Linked DNA regions of Oryctolagus cuniculus. The protein of the gene in region 3 purifies or fractionates together with the protein of the main gene of each other region. This does not show direct contact. Links are inferred from orthologs where the notes say so. Each region holds a gene or a part of one and is shown on either strand. Other genes may lie near its edges.

Region 1 (4,378 bases), on a different chromosome or scaffold from region 3:
GGTGGGTGGCCAGCACAGCACCATTTTGCCTCGGTGCCGTCCAAGGGCTGCAGTTCCTTCACCGGCTCAGATCATCGCCTGGCAGCCATCTATCTTCCAAGGACAACTTCTTCCAACCCAGTTCAGGGCACGGAGCTTTTTATAAAGTACTAACCCCGGCCAGCGCCGCAGCTCACTGGGCTAATCCTCCACCTGCGGCGCCGGCACCCTGGGGTTCTAGTCCCGGTTGGGGCGCCGGATTCTGTCCCGGTTGCTCCTCTTCCAGGCCAGCTCTCTGCTGTGGTCTGGGAGTGCAGTGGAGGATGGCCCAGGTGCTTGGGCCCTGCACCCCATGGGAGACCAGGAGGAAGTGCCTGGCTCCTGCCTTCAGATCGGTGCAGATCTGCCACAGCACACTGGCCGCAGTGGCTGTTGGGGGATGAACCAACGGAAAAGGAAGACCTTTCTGTCTCTCTCTCTCTCACTGTCTAACTCTGCCTGTCAAAAAAAAAAAATAAAAATAAATAAATAAAAATAAAAATAAAAAAATAAAAAGCACCAAGCCTAACCATATAACCATTAGTGTAACCATTAGTGTAGATGGACATATGACACAGCCTGAGACAAGCCCAGGAGAGGGCGTTTGGCACACTGGTAAGCCGTTGCTTGCGGTGACCACATCCTGTACCAAGTGCCCGGCTTGAGTCCTGGCCTTCCACTCCACCTCCCAGGAATGTGTACCCAAGGGAGGCAGCCGGTGATGACGGCTCAAGTACCGGGGTCCACGCCACCCATGCAGAGACCCACGTGGAGTTCCTGGCTCTCGTCTTAGGCCTGGTCTTGCCCCAGCTGTTGACGGCATCTGGGGAGTGACCCAGAGGACTGCAGCTCTCTCTTTGCCTTAGAAATGCAATACAGATGTTGCACCCACCCCCAGCCCCGACCAGACGGAGAGAATTACACGCTACCAAACCTCTGGCACGACGTCCACACATGACCGATGCGGGGTCGGCGTCACTGCCTGGATCTGTCATTAAGGACAGTTTGGGCATTTTGTCGCCCTGGGCCTCCACTGTCCTCGGACATAAAATTACGAGGATTGTGCAAGTTTTCTCGTCTTCAAAATCCCCTTCCCAGAGGGCCCTGTATCCGGAGGGCCTGCCGCTCCCAGGCCCCTAACGCTGCAGGGCGAAGCCAAGGGGCAGTGTGCGAGTCGTGGTCACTCGGGTCCCCAGTGGCTGACGTCCCCACCTCCCGGTTACCCGCCCTGTGAACGCAAAACCGGTACTTCCTGGTGAAAACAGGCCCCCAGGGTTCATTTCAGAGCTCAGAAGCCGGCGGCCAGGGACTCCATCCCGGGCGCCCACGTGGGCCCTCGCCGGCCGCCTCCCAGGGTGGGCACTGGCAGGGCGCAGGGCGCAGGCGAGCAGGCCCCGGCCCGGGGGCCCTCTCCGCCCCGCGCCGCCGGGACCGCCCCTCGCGGCCGGATCTGCTTCCAGGGCACCGGGAAGGGGCGGGCGCCGGGGCGGGCCGGGGCGGGGAGCGCGCGGGGCGGGGAGCACCGAGCATCCTCGCCGCCGCGCCGCGCCGCGCTGCGCTGCGCCCCGCGCCCACGCCGCCCGCGCCGCCCGCGCCCACGCCGCCCGCGCCCACGCCGCCCGGCCTGGCGCGCGGGTCCCCGGCGTGAACCGGAACCGCTTGCCGAGGCCGCCGGGAGCCGGGAGCCGGGCGCCGGCCGGGGAGCGCGGGGGGACGCGGCCTGCGCGGCGCCGCCCGCCATGGCCGCGGCGGGCTGAGCAGGGCGCGGCGGCCGCAGTCGCGCGGACCCGGGCGCTCTCCGCCGCCCGCAGGCCCCGCGGCCGGGCCGGGCCGGGCCGGACCGGGCCGGGCTGGGCGCGCGCGCGGAGGCCGAGGGGAGCCGGGGCCGCCGCGCCCGCCCATGGCGAGGCCGCGCCGCCGCCGCCGCCGCTGCTGCCGCCGCCGCTGCTGCTGCTGCTGCTGCTGACCGGGCGGCCGCGCCTCGCGCCCCGCCGCGCCCCCGCGAGGAAGCGAGAGGCGCGCCGGCGGGGGCCGCCGAAGATGGGGAACACTACCTCGTGCTGCGTGTCGTCCAGCCCCAAGCTCCGCCGGAACGCGCACTCGCGGCTGGAGTCGTACCGGCCCGACGCCGACCTGAGCCGCGAGGACACGGGCTGCAACCTGCAGCACATCAGCGACCGCGAGAACGTGGACGGTGAGCGCCCCCCGGGGGGCCTCGGGCACGCGTGGGGCGCGCGCGGGGCCCCCGCGGAGCTGCGGCCGGCGGCGGCGCCTCCGGAGCGCGCGGGGCCCCGGGCACTGCGCGCGAGGACTCCGGGGCGCCCCTCGCTCCCCTCCCCCGATTCCGGGTCGAGGCTAGGAAAAGCCTTTGAAATTAAAAATAAATAACTGAATCAGTAAGAAGGCAGGGGAGGGCCGCGGGGCGGCGTCGGGGGTCGCTGTGCGTGGGTGGGTGGGCGCGGGTGGCCCCTGCGGGTTCCCCGAGCGGCGGACGCCGGGCCGCCTCTGAGAGACGCGGGATAGGAAGTGCGGGCTGCTGCCGGCTCCCCGCAGCCGGGGGAGTGCGTGACGCGTCCCTTGCGGGTCTTGGCGTGCGTGGGGCGGCAGGCTTGCTGGACGATGTCCACGCAGGAGCCGGTCCGCAGTGGGCGCTTGGTGGATGGCGGTCCCAGTGCTCCTGGGACACTAACCCACCCCTGGCTGTGCGTGAGCTGCAGTCCTGCTTCGACACCTGGAAGGGTGTCGCGGCCAGATCTGATAGCCCAAGCGCCTGAAAGAAATGCTTAGAATAGAGGTGCAGTGTTTTGCCTGAGGAACGAATGAATGAGTGAATGATTGCAGAAGGCCCTTGCCCAGCCGTGAACTGTGTCGGGCAGTAGCGTTTGGGAATAGGTGGACGCTTTGTTGCAAATCATGGATCATCATCAACAGCAGAGTTAGAGAAAGAGAGTTTCCATAAGCTGGTCCACTCCCCAGATGGCCGCAACAGCCTGTCCTGGGCCAGGCCGGAGCCAGGAGCTACTTCTGGGTCTCCCACGCGGGCGCAGGGGCCCAAGCACTTAGGCTGTCTTCCACTGCTTTCCCAGGTGCATTAGCAGGGAGCCGGATCGGAAGTGGAGCAGCTGGGACTAGAACCCGCGGCCATATGGGATGCCGGCACTGCAGGTGGCAGCTTAGCCCAGGATACCACAGAGCCAGCCCCCATCAAACACTTCTCTAAAGTGTTTCTTTGAAAGGCAGAGCAACAGAGAGCGAGCGAGCGAGAGCAAGAGAGAGAGATATTCTATCTGCTGGTTCCCTGCCTAGGTGCAGCCGACAGCCAGGGCTGGGTCCGGCGGAAGCCAGCAGCCAGGAACCGCAGGTCTCCTGCGTGGGTGGCAGCGACCCAGGTACTAAAGACTTCAGGTGCTGCCTTCCGTGCTGGAGCAGGGAGCTGGGTGGGAAGTGGAGGTGGAACCACGCACTTTGATCTGGGCTGCGGGGTCTCGAGCCACGGTTAACTTGCCACGCCTCAGTGCCTGCCCTTGGTCAAGCATTTTTGAGAGAAGGTTGGGAAGTGCAGGTTCTAATCTGGGCTGGGGTCCCCTCACTCCACATCCTGGCTCCTACGATGAGGCATTTAAACAATGTTCTGTCTCCCAAGCTCGGTAAGTAATGGTTCCGGGACTTACCTAACCAGCGCTTCTCAGTGTTGCTTTCGGTTGGACCAGAAGTCTAGGGCTGGATGTTGGCATTAATAGTTTATTTAGAGCTCCCCAGGGAATAATAAGATGTAGCTCCGCTTGGTAATTGCTGGCTGGGTGGAACTTGGAAGCGTTACCACCTGCTGTTCGGAGACAGTTTTGGTAAAAATTAGTGTTGGAGGCTGGGAGAAGGAGACAGATTTATTTAAATGGCGTGCATATCCATATATATATATATATGTATCTATGTATAACTATCTATATTTATATGTATCTGGACTCCTGAGTTAGGTTATCAGATTCTTAAAACTACGTCTCAACAATTCTTTTTATTTTTTTGACGATTTATTTATTAATTTGAAAGGCGGAGTTACAGAGAGGCAGAGGCAGAGAGAGAGGTCATCCGTCCACTCATTCACTCCCCAAATGGCTGCAAAGGCCGATCCAAAGCCCGGAGCCAGGTGCTTCTCCTGGTCTCCCATGCGGGTGCAGGGGCCCAAGCACCTGGGCCATCCTCCACTGCCTTCCCAGGCCACAGCAGAGAGCTGGATGGGAAGTGGAGCAGCCGGGCCTCAAGCCAGCGCCCACGTGAGATGCCGGCCCTGCAGGCGGCGGCTTTACCTGCTACGCCACAGTGCCAGCCCCTGGAGAATTCTTGATCCAAGTGTAGTGTGAAA
Region 2 (4,353 bases), on a different chromosome or scaffold from region 3:
GACCCGGCTGTTCCACTTCCAATCCAGCTCTCTGTTGTGGCCTGGGAAAGCAGAAGAAGATGGCCCAAGTCCTTGGGCCCCTGCACCTGCGTGGGAGACCTGGAAGAGGCTCCTGGCTCCTGGCTTCGGATCAGCGCAGCTCCAGCCATTGCGACCAACTGGGGAGTGAGCCATCAGATGGAAGACCTCTCTCTCTCTTGCTCTCTGCCTCTCCTCTCTCTGTGTAACTCTTTCAAATAAATAAATAAATCTTTTTTTAAAAAAAATAACTACTGAAAAGAGGAAAGCTCTATTGTTCCGAGGTTTTTCTACACCACATTGCCAATCCCTTGTGTACCCTCACCCTTCAGAGGGAGGACGAGCAAGGGGTCACATGAGAGCAACTTTAGCCAGCAGATTAGCAAAGCTCCGAAAGCCAGAATTCAAAACGCTGTAGGAAAAAGTTGTTGAGTAATAATAAAATTGGGTAAAAATTTAACTGTCATGGTAACAAACATAAAATGGTAAGTTCTGTGCTCACAACACAGTCCTGTGCCTAATGCCTGGGACCTTACTCGTTCTCCTCAGGGCTCCTGTTCAGGTTCCTCCCTCCAGGGGCCTCTGAGCTGCAGCTCCGGACTGTCAGAACAAGCTCTAAAATCCGTCACCACAGTTATCTGCTGGGTAGGTTGCAGTCATCTGTCATCCATGCTTTTATACATCACAGGGAATGGGTATATAGATATAGGATGGCAAGATAAAATGTTGCCTCTGAGTTGTATAAAACAAACCAAAAAAAATTTCTTAATAGAGCAGGAATGTTCTAAGAGATAGACCTACTTTGCAGGTGACATATGACATGCATCCTGAAAAGTTCTTAAAGTTTCTGAAGAACTGAATTTGGCCTATCTACCACAGCCATGTCAGTCTGCATCAGCAGGGAAATCCTTAGTTCTTCCATCCAGGAGCTGCTTAGTCATTTCAGATCTTCATTCATTTGTTAGCAACACTGGGAGATCACGCACAGGCCTTATTTGTATTTGGAAGGGTTAAATGAGATGCACATGAAAATACACCGTAAATCTCAAAAGAAGTCTATAAAGATCTTATTTTGGGCTGTAATCCATCACTACCCATCTACTACCTGGTTTGTAAAATCACTTGGGGGCTTACCTTGCACCACCCAGTAGAGTGCTGTTTTCACAAGTACTTACATGCACTGTGTTTAAAGGTACAATTAATTCACATGATACCTTTGTTCATTCCTTCACAATTTTTGAGTCTGCTGAAAACTGAGTACTTCCCAGTTACACAGGAATATCCATCATGAGCCTTAATCTTTCTCATTTTTAAATAACTTAAGAGCCCAACGAAAGTTAAATTACAAGACCTTTAAGATCTTTCCTCCTGGAAATGAAATCATCCCTGACATTTAAATGAAACAAACGGGCCAACCTGGGCTTAAATACGTTACAATGTTTTCTACTTCAAAGCACTCAGTCATTCAGGACCACCGTGTTGGCCAGAATTATTTTTACCTAGATTCAAAGCTTTCCAAAAGAGCCCAAGTTTTTACATACACACACGTGGTTCCTCCTCTCTTCTCCCTCCCCCGCCCAGCCCCCTCAGCATTCTCAGTAAAGAACTCGGCTCGGAGTCTAGGAAGTGGGGGGAAGGGAGGGGAGGGAGCCAGGGAACCAAACACTACCGCGGCCGGGGGCTGGCATTTTAGTTCCCAGACCTTAACAAGTCAAGAGTTCTCGATGGGCATTTGTCTCGTGTGAAACTTTGGAGCAGCACTGAGGAACCACTCCCACACCTCCCCACCCTCTCCTCCAGAACAGACGAGGTACGTGAAGTCGGTTAAGTCATCGGAGGAGGGCTGCACACAGATTTCCGTCAAAACGGGAATTTTTAAGCAATCTGAACTCCATGCCTAAACTGCTCGGATTTAAAACACACACACACACACACACACACACACACACACACACACACACACTTTCCCGCAGTCCTGGCAGTAGCGCTTCACACCTTTCACAGTTATTTTAAGCCCTTCATAATATTTTCCTGTTCAAATGATAGTTGGAAGGAACTCGGCAGCTTCGACGGGGCGGGGGATGGGGGCAGCAAACAGTCCACTTAACACCAGGCAGACACCGGAAGCAACATCTAGCCTGAATTTAAATGTGTGAACTGTGCGGGGTATCCACTACTCCAACGGGTGCGTGGCAGGAACCTCGGTCCTTACCTGGCTCCTTCCCTTAGGCACCATCAGGATGGGCGAGGGCGGAGATGGGATGCACACCCCGAAATCCGGGTGTTTCAATTTTCATTTGCGAAAAGGCAGAGAATGTACCCAAAAAGTCTTGATAAGGTCCCATGGGAAGATGAACAACGCTGCAAACAGGAAGGGCCGCGCACAGGAGGGTCCCAGGCCGGGTTGGGGACAGAGCACTGAACGTTCGCGTGGGGCCAAGGGAAGCAAACGGCACAGATCGTCAGAGAAAGAATAAGGGGTGGGGACGCGGAGCTGAGCCAGCCTTCAGCCCCGGTGCCCAGCCCAGGGAAAGCCGGCTCCCGGCAGGAAGGACCCGAGGCGGCGGCCGCCTCCCGAGGGACCCGGGGGGCGGCGGAGGCCAGAGTGCGCCCGCCTCCTCCTCCTCACCTTCGGGCATCTCCCGGTCGCTGATGTGCTGCAGGTGGTGGCCCTCGCCGGCTCCGAAATCCAACTCGGTGGGCTCCACGGCAGCGGGTGCCGGCGCCACAGCCACCGCGTCGCCGGCCGCCGCCTCGTAGATCTCGGACTCGTAGTCCGGCTCCGCCGGCCCCGCGCGCCGGCCCAACTTGGGGCTGGCATTGGGGGACACGCAACAGGTCAGCGTGTTCCCCATGGGGCGCCTCCGCTCCTCTCCGCCACCGTCTGCGCCTTCGCTCGCCCCCGACTCCGCGGCGCTCGGCAGCCGCCCCCTCCCCCAACAATGGCGCGGTCGGCACCGGCAGCCCCGGGCTATGCCGGGGCTGCGGCGCGCATAGAGACACGGCCTCGCCCGCCGCTCGCCCGCCCGCCCTGCCGCCCGGCCCCGGGCAGGGCTCCGGCCTCGGCCGCACCCCCGCCGCCGCGCCACCGCCGCCTCCCTCGAGCCGACTTGTCTGCGAGGGCGGCGACCAGCCCGGCTTATTTAAAAGGGGTGGGGACCCGCCAGGCGCTGAGAGACGCAGCCACTGCCGGCAGAGAGCGCGGTCGGAGCCCCTCCTTCTTCCGCCGCCGCCTCTCGACCGAAAGCCACTCACTCTGGCTGGCGCCTACCAACCGGAACGCGTCCTGTGGTCACCTGGTTACGAGGAACCAATCATGCCCAGAGTTCCCTACACGCGCCCGCGGGGAGTCCAGGCACGTGACGCACAATGCCCCGCCCCCGCGCGGTGCCCCGCCCCTCGAGAGGTGCGTCCGGGACTCCGGGTTCCATTCATCGCCCGGTGCCCAGAGTTTTCCGGTCCTGCGGGAAGCGCCGGGGGCGTTCGTTGGTCGAGGCAGCCCTCGGCAGGGGGGCTCTGCAGAAAGCCCCGGTGAGGAAAGCGCCTGCTCCGCCAGCAACTCGGTTTCTCCGAGTCCGACGGCTTTCCTTTGCTCACCAAACTTGGTGGCACCTGAATTGCCGACCGTTTCTGTGACCAAATGCTGCGCTCCGGTCTTCCCAAGTGCTGGCTTTCGCCCGCGGCTGACCATTCGGAGAGACCGGGGGCCCTGAAAGGGCTGTGGCCGCGCGTCCTGCGCGAGCCCTGAGGACACGTCACCTCTCCACTTCCTCGTCGGGGAAACGGCCCGCGCTGCTCCCTCCCCGCGCCGGGACGCGAGCCACACCAGCCCCGCGTTCTCGCCTGTTTCTCCCGCCCACAGCCGCCTTCCACTGACAACAACGAAGGTTTCCTCGAACAAAACCGAGAACCACAGTGGGGGACCACGGGCCTGATTCGCTGAAGGTGATGGTAACAAATCGTTAACGTTTGGCCACGATGCGCCCGATGCTCCTCCAACTGAGACATTCATTTAACCCTCAAAAACCGTCCCATTTTACAGAATGAAGTTGAGACCCACACGCGAAGTAACTTTCCCAGGATCACGTGACCGCTTAGGGTGGGGCCAGGCCATTCCTGATGGTGAACGTAAAGGTAGAAGTCGGACTTGGAAGGAAATGACGTTACATAGTAGGATCTTTCTTTAAAAAGGAAGGATTTTTTTTAAATGTTTGCTTATTTTCCTTTATTTGACAGAGAGAGAGAGAGAGATCTTGCATTTACTGGCTCACTCCCCAGGGCTCACTGGCCAGGGCTGGGCCAGACCAAGGCCAGGAGCCCAGAGCTCCATTCAGG
Region 3 (4,088 bases):
CCTTCTTGAGAGTCTAGTGCATGCTGGCGAGGTCAGGACTCAGGAGGTGTGGTGAAGTGTGAGGAGTGTATCCTCATCAGTGGTCTGTGTGCTAAGTGGGGGCCAGGATCTGTGGGTGTGAGAGTAGTCTGAGGATGGGTGTGTGTCCTTGAGGGTCAGGAATGATCAAGAAAGACCTGTGATTTTTTGGGGGTAGAATTGTGTGTCCAGTTCTTCCTCCCTCCTTATTCTTAACTATGAAAAACTCAGACAGCTGAAATGATACTATTTTGGAAGTTTTGTTGCATATAATTGTTCAAGTATCTGTTCACAGGAACCTGCCCAGGGTGCACACCCCTTATTGGGAGTGCTGCTTGGTACATATCTTGTTCCCCATCTTCCTAAAACCTCTCACCACAACTGAACTCTTCAACATGTTCAGCCCTTGGCATTTCCACTCAGAGGCCGTAGTTCATTCTGGCTCCCTCCCATCATCCTTTAAGTCCTGCTAACAGTCTCCCCAGCCCTTGCCCCATTGCCTATCACAACATGCGAAGCAACTGGATATCTGTGCCATATGGGGACACAAGATAGTCTTTGGGAGCTGGGCACACTTTGCCTTCTTCGGCCTTGGGTCCAGGATTGTTTTGTCGCTGTTATGCTGGGTTCTGTGTGGATGGACCTTGTCTTCTCTTAGGTCTTTCTGCTAGGCTAGTCCCTCTACCCCTCCATGGGGGTGGTGAGTTCAAGCAGGCAGGAGTAGGGGTGGGAACTGCTTGGCTAAGCACCAGGTTTCAGGGTAACAGATTTCTCTCCTCAAATCTAGCCCCAGCCTCATCCTCGACCTCCTATCTAGCTCTACTTCCCTTGGGCCAGGGCCATCTTGGGCCCTGCTGTGAGTCCAGATGGTTCCTGGGCCAGGTCTTTCCCCCTCCTTGCTGGCCCAGCACCGAGGAGGAAGTAGAAGAAGGCCAGCCTAAGCCTTTTGGTGGCCCCATTCCCTCCAGCAGCCCATCTAGGTCATCTTCCTGTCGATGCCAGCATCTTTGGAGCACCCTTGTTGGGGGTTGTTCCTAAATAGCAGGGACCCCCTGCCTCAGCAGAGATGGTTCCTAGGCTCTCAGCTCCCTGATGCAGTCATTTCTGCCATAAGCGCTTTTGGGCATCTGCTGTGTCAGTCACTATTCTAGGTCCTCAGGATATAACTGTGACCTAAACAGAAAGACATTTATCCTGGCAGAGCTGATCTTCTAGTTGTGGCAGTGAGGAGACAGTAAAGAATAAAAGAAACCAATAAGTAGATGTGTTATCTCCAAGGAGGTGATGAGTTCTGAGGGGGATAGTTGGCAAGATGAGGGAGCTCAGGATGGTTGAGATTTTAGATATTCACGGAAGCTTCACGTGAAAAGTTGAGATTAGATCAATGACCTGAAGGGAGTGGGGAGTGAGCTGTTTCAAAATCTGGGGGAAGGTATTCCAGGTACCAGGAACAGCCAGTGCAAAGGCCCTGAAGTGGGACTCTGCTGGGTGTGGTACAGAACAACAACTAGGAATGATCCTCGAGGTAACAGGGCAACTGAGGTATAAGACCTTGTAGGCCACATTGAGGACTGGGCTCTTTATTTGGGGTGATAAGGGGGCTGTGGTTCATTTTCAAGTAGAGGAGAAATGTGACCTGGCTTTTAAAAATCTGGATTGGGCCTGTAGGTGCCTACCAGATCAAACATTTCCAGCAGTCCTGAGGATAGCTGGTCTATATTGAAATGGGGGGGGGGGTCTCTCAACCCAGTGGTAGGGTCTGAGTAGGATCCTCCCTGCATCCCCTACATGAGCAGACTTAATGGTTTGGTTCACTTGTCACCATGACGATGGTCACTGAGGGAAGCACGGAGTTCCTTATGGCTAGAGAGAGCATTCTACCTTGGCAGTTGGGGGTGATGTGGGGCTGGTGCCAGCGGAACATAATGTTTTATGGGCGTGCCCAGGGCCATGGTTCCTTGGTTCTGGGAGAGCCTCCTGTACCACCCAAACCTGGGTCCATTACTGCCGCTGCACCTGACAATACCTGCTGTGGAGCCTTCTGCTCCCACAGTGAGGCTGCCACCCTAGAGACCATCAGTCTACCTAGTGGGCCCTTGCCCTCAGCCAGCCACCCAAGTCTGAGTACCCAGGTAAGCCCCTCAGGAGCAGGGCCCAGGGGCTGGTTCTGGGTGGGCGGGCACTGACAAGGGTCCCCATCCATACGGCTTTCTCAGGACTCCTGAACAGGGCCAGGGGCCCACAGTGGGTGGGCAGCCACTGACACAAGTTCACGTTGGTGTTCCCTACTAGGTTGTGGGTTTTAGGGGCCTCCTAGTGGACCAGCAGATGCTAATAGAGGAGCCCTGTGCCCTTACTCAGGTCGCCATGGATCGGATGAAGAAGATCAAACGGCAGCTGTCAATGACACTCCGAGGGGGCCGAGGCATAGACAAGACCAATGGTGCCCCAGAACAGATAGGCCTAGACGAGAGCGGCGGTGGCGGTGGCAGTGACCTTGGAGAGGCCCCCACACGTACCGCCCCAGGAGAACCTCGCTCTGGACGGGGCCCACTCAGCTCTGCACCAGGTGGGTCCACAAACTACTCCTTGGTCTCATGTCTCTAGGCTGGTTCCCAGGTGCTGCCTCCCGATCCAGTTCCTCTTAGACTTGTGCTCCCATTTTCTTCCCCTTTCCTGTTCCATGTGTGCTGTTTTTTCCCCTTCCCTGCCATCCTCTCTCAGCATTCTCTGTCCAACTGTGCCCCTGTCCTTGGCTTTGTGCCAGGCCCCAGGGGAGGAGACGTACCTTGCATGTTGCACCTGCCCCAAGGTTTCCTCTGCCCTTCTCCTGCACCCTGCGGTGGCCCCCTCAGGCCTCCTGGCACCTACCTATCCAGTGCACTTGCCTCCCAGAGCGCTTGGCTACCTCTGCCACCACCTGCCTATTGGCCCCAGTTCAGGCTAGCTGCATTTTCAACTCACCCTGGAATGGGTACTCCACTAGGTGACTGTTGTCCGTCTCCCTCTCTGTCCTGGACCTGCCTAAGCTCCCCTAGGCCCCACCACCTTCTCCTTGAGGAACTGTGGGCTGCTCCAGGGGCCATGCATGCACATGTATGAGGAGGGAATGTATTGCATGGGAGAGGGAGTGTCTTGGGGTTCCTGACCCCATCTGGCATACCCTCCCCCTCTCCCTGCCACCAGAGATTGTACACGAGGACTTGAAGATGGGGTCTGATGGGGAGAGTGACCAGGCTTCAGCCACGTCCTCGGATGAGGTGCAGTCTCCAGTGCGAGTGCGCATGCGCAACCACCCCCCGCGCAAGATCTCCACTGAGGTGCTTAACTCACTGTTCGGGTGATGGGAACTGGAAAAGGGGGCTGGAGGTAGGGAGGTAGAGCTCATGGTCCCTTTTCGCCCCTGTCTTGCTTGGTAGGATATCAACAAGCGCCTATCACTACCAGCCGACATCCGGCTGCCTGAGGGCTACCTTGAGAAGCTGACCCTCAATAGCCCCATCTTTGACAAGCCCCTCAGCCGCCGCCTCCGCCGTGTCAGTCTGGTGAGCACTTTCTGTTCCTGTCCTCTCTCCTTCCTCTCCCTGTCCCCTCCCCTGAGCCTGCTTCGACCTGCCTACTTTATCCCACAGTCTGAGATTGGCTTTGGGAAATTGGAGACCTATATCAAGCTGGACAAGCTGGGTGAGGTGAGAGACAGCCAGGAGACCCACGGTGGGGATGAGGGTCAGCAGGAGCTCCCTGCAGCCTCATTACGCCTCTCCTGTCACACTTGCTCACACCCCCAGGGTACCTATGCCACCGTCTACAAAGGCAAAAGCAAGCTCACGGACAACCTTGTGGCACTCAAGGAGATCAGGCTGGAACATGAAGAGGGAGCACCCTGCACCGCCATCCGGGAAGGTACAGATCCCTGGCCCACCTTTCCCAGGCTTTCCTCACGACACATGTACATCCTCACTCCATGGTGTGAGCAGAGACAGAGGGTTCTGGAACTCCCCCTTCCAACACACTAGCATCTATGAGAATGCCCATCAACCCTATATCTGGGTAATAATCAGAGTCACCAG

What was found.
Region 1: the proteins of CDK16 (region 3) and CCNY purify together in Homo sapiens (affinity purification with mass spectrometry; 3 studies listed by BioGRID and IntAct, counting the BioPlex papers as one, with this or other methods). This does not show direct contact. The link is inferred for Oryctolagus cuniculus from reciprocal best matches to the Homo sapiens genes CDK16 and CCNY.
Region 2: the proteins of CDK16 (region 3) and CCNYL1 purify together in Homo sapiens (affinity purification with mass spectrometry; 4 studies listed by BioGRID and IntAct, counting the BioPlex papers as one, with this or other methods). This does not show direct contact. The link is inferred for Oryctolagus cuniculus from reciprocal best matches to the Homo sapiens genes CDK16 and CCNYL1.

Annotation. Positions count from the first base shown.
Region 1 is NC_091444.1:107,291,409-107,295,786, reverse strand, and holds the start of CCNY (cyclin-Y), read left to right. Parts: upstream 1-1,511; 5' UTR 1,512-2,058; coding exon 2,059-2,212; intron 2,213-4,378. UniProt on the Homo sapiens protein: Positive regulatory subunit of the cyclin-dependent kinases CDK14/PFTK1 and CDK16.
Region 2 is NC_091434.1:32,089,852-32,094,204, forward strand, and holds the start of CCNYL1 (cyclin-Y-like protein 1), read right to left. Parts: upstream 2,874-4,353; coding exon 2,648-2,873; coding exon of another isoform or gene 2,542-2,647; intron 664-2,541; coding exon of another isoform or gene 568-663; intron 1-567. Other genes in the region: microtubule cross-linking factor 1-like, read left to right, coding at 568-663, 2,542-3,731. UniProt on the Homo sapiens protein: Key regulator of Wnt signaling implicated in various biological processes including male fertility, embryonic neurogenesis and cortex development. Activates the cyclin-dependent kinase CDK16, and promotes sperm maturation.
Region 3 is NC_091453.1:32,755,156-32,759,243, forward strand, and holds the start of CDK16 (cyclin-dependent kinase 16), read left to right. Parts: upstream 1-1,245; 5' UTR 1,246-1,841; coding exon 1,842-2,150; intron 2,151-2,379; coding exon 2,380-2,587; intron 2,588-3,204; coding exon 3,205-3,338; intron 3,339-3,437; coding exon 3,438-3,563; intron 3,564-3,650; coding exon 3,651-3,707; intron 3,708-3,806; coding exon 3,807-3,921; intron 3,922-4,088. UniProt on the Homo sapiens protein: Protein kinase that plays a role in vesicle-mediated transport processes and exocytosis. Regulates GH1 release by brain neurons. Phosphorylates NSF, and thereby regulates NSF oligomerization. Required for normal spermatogenesis.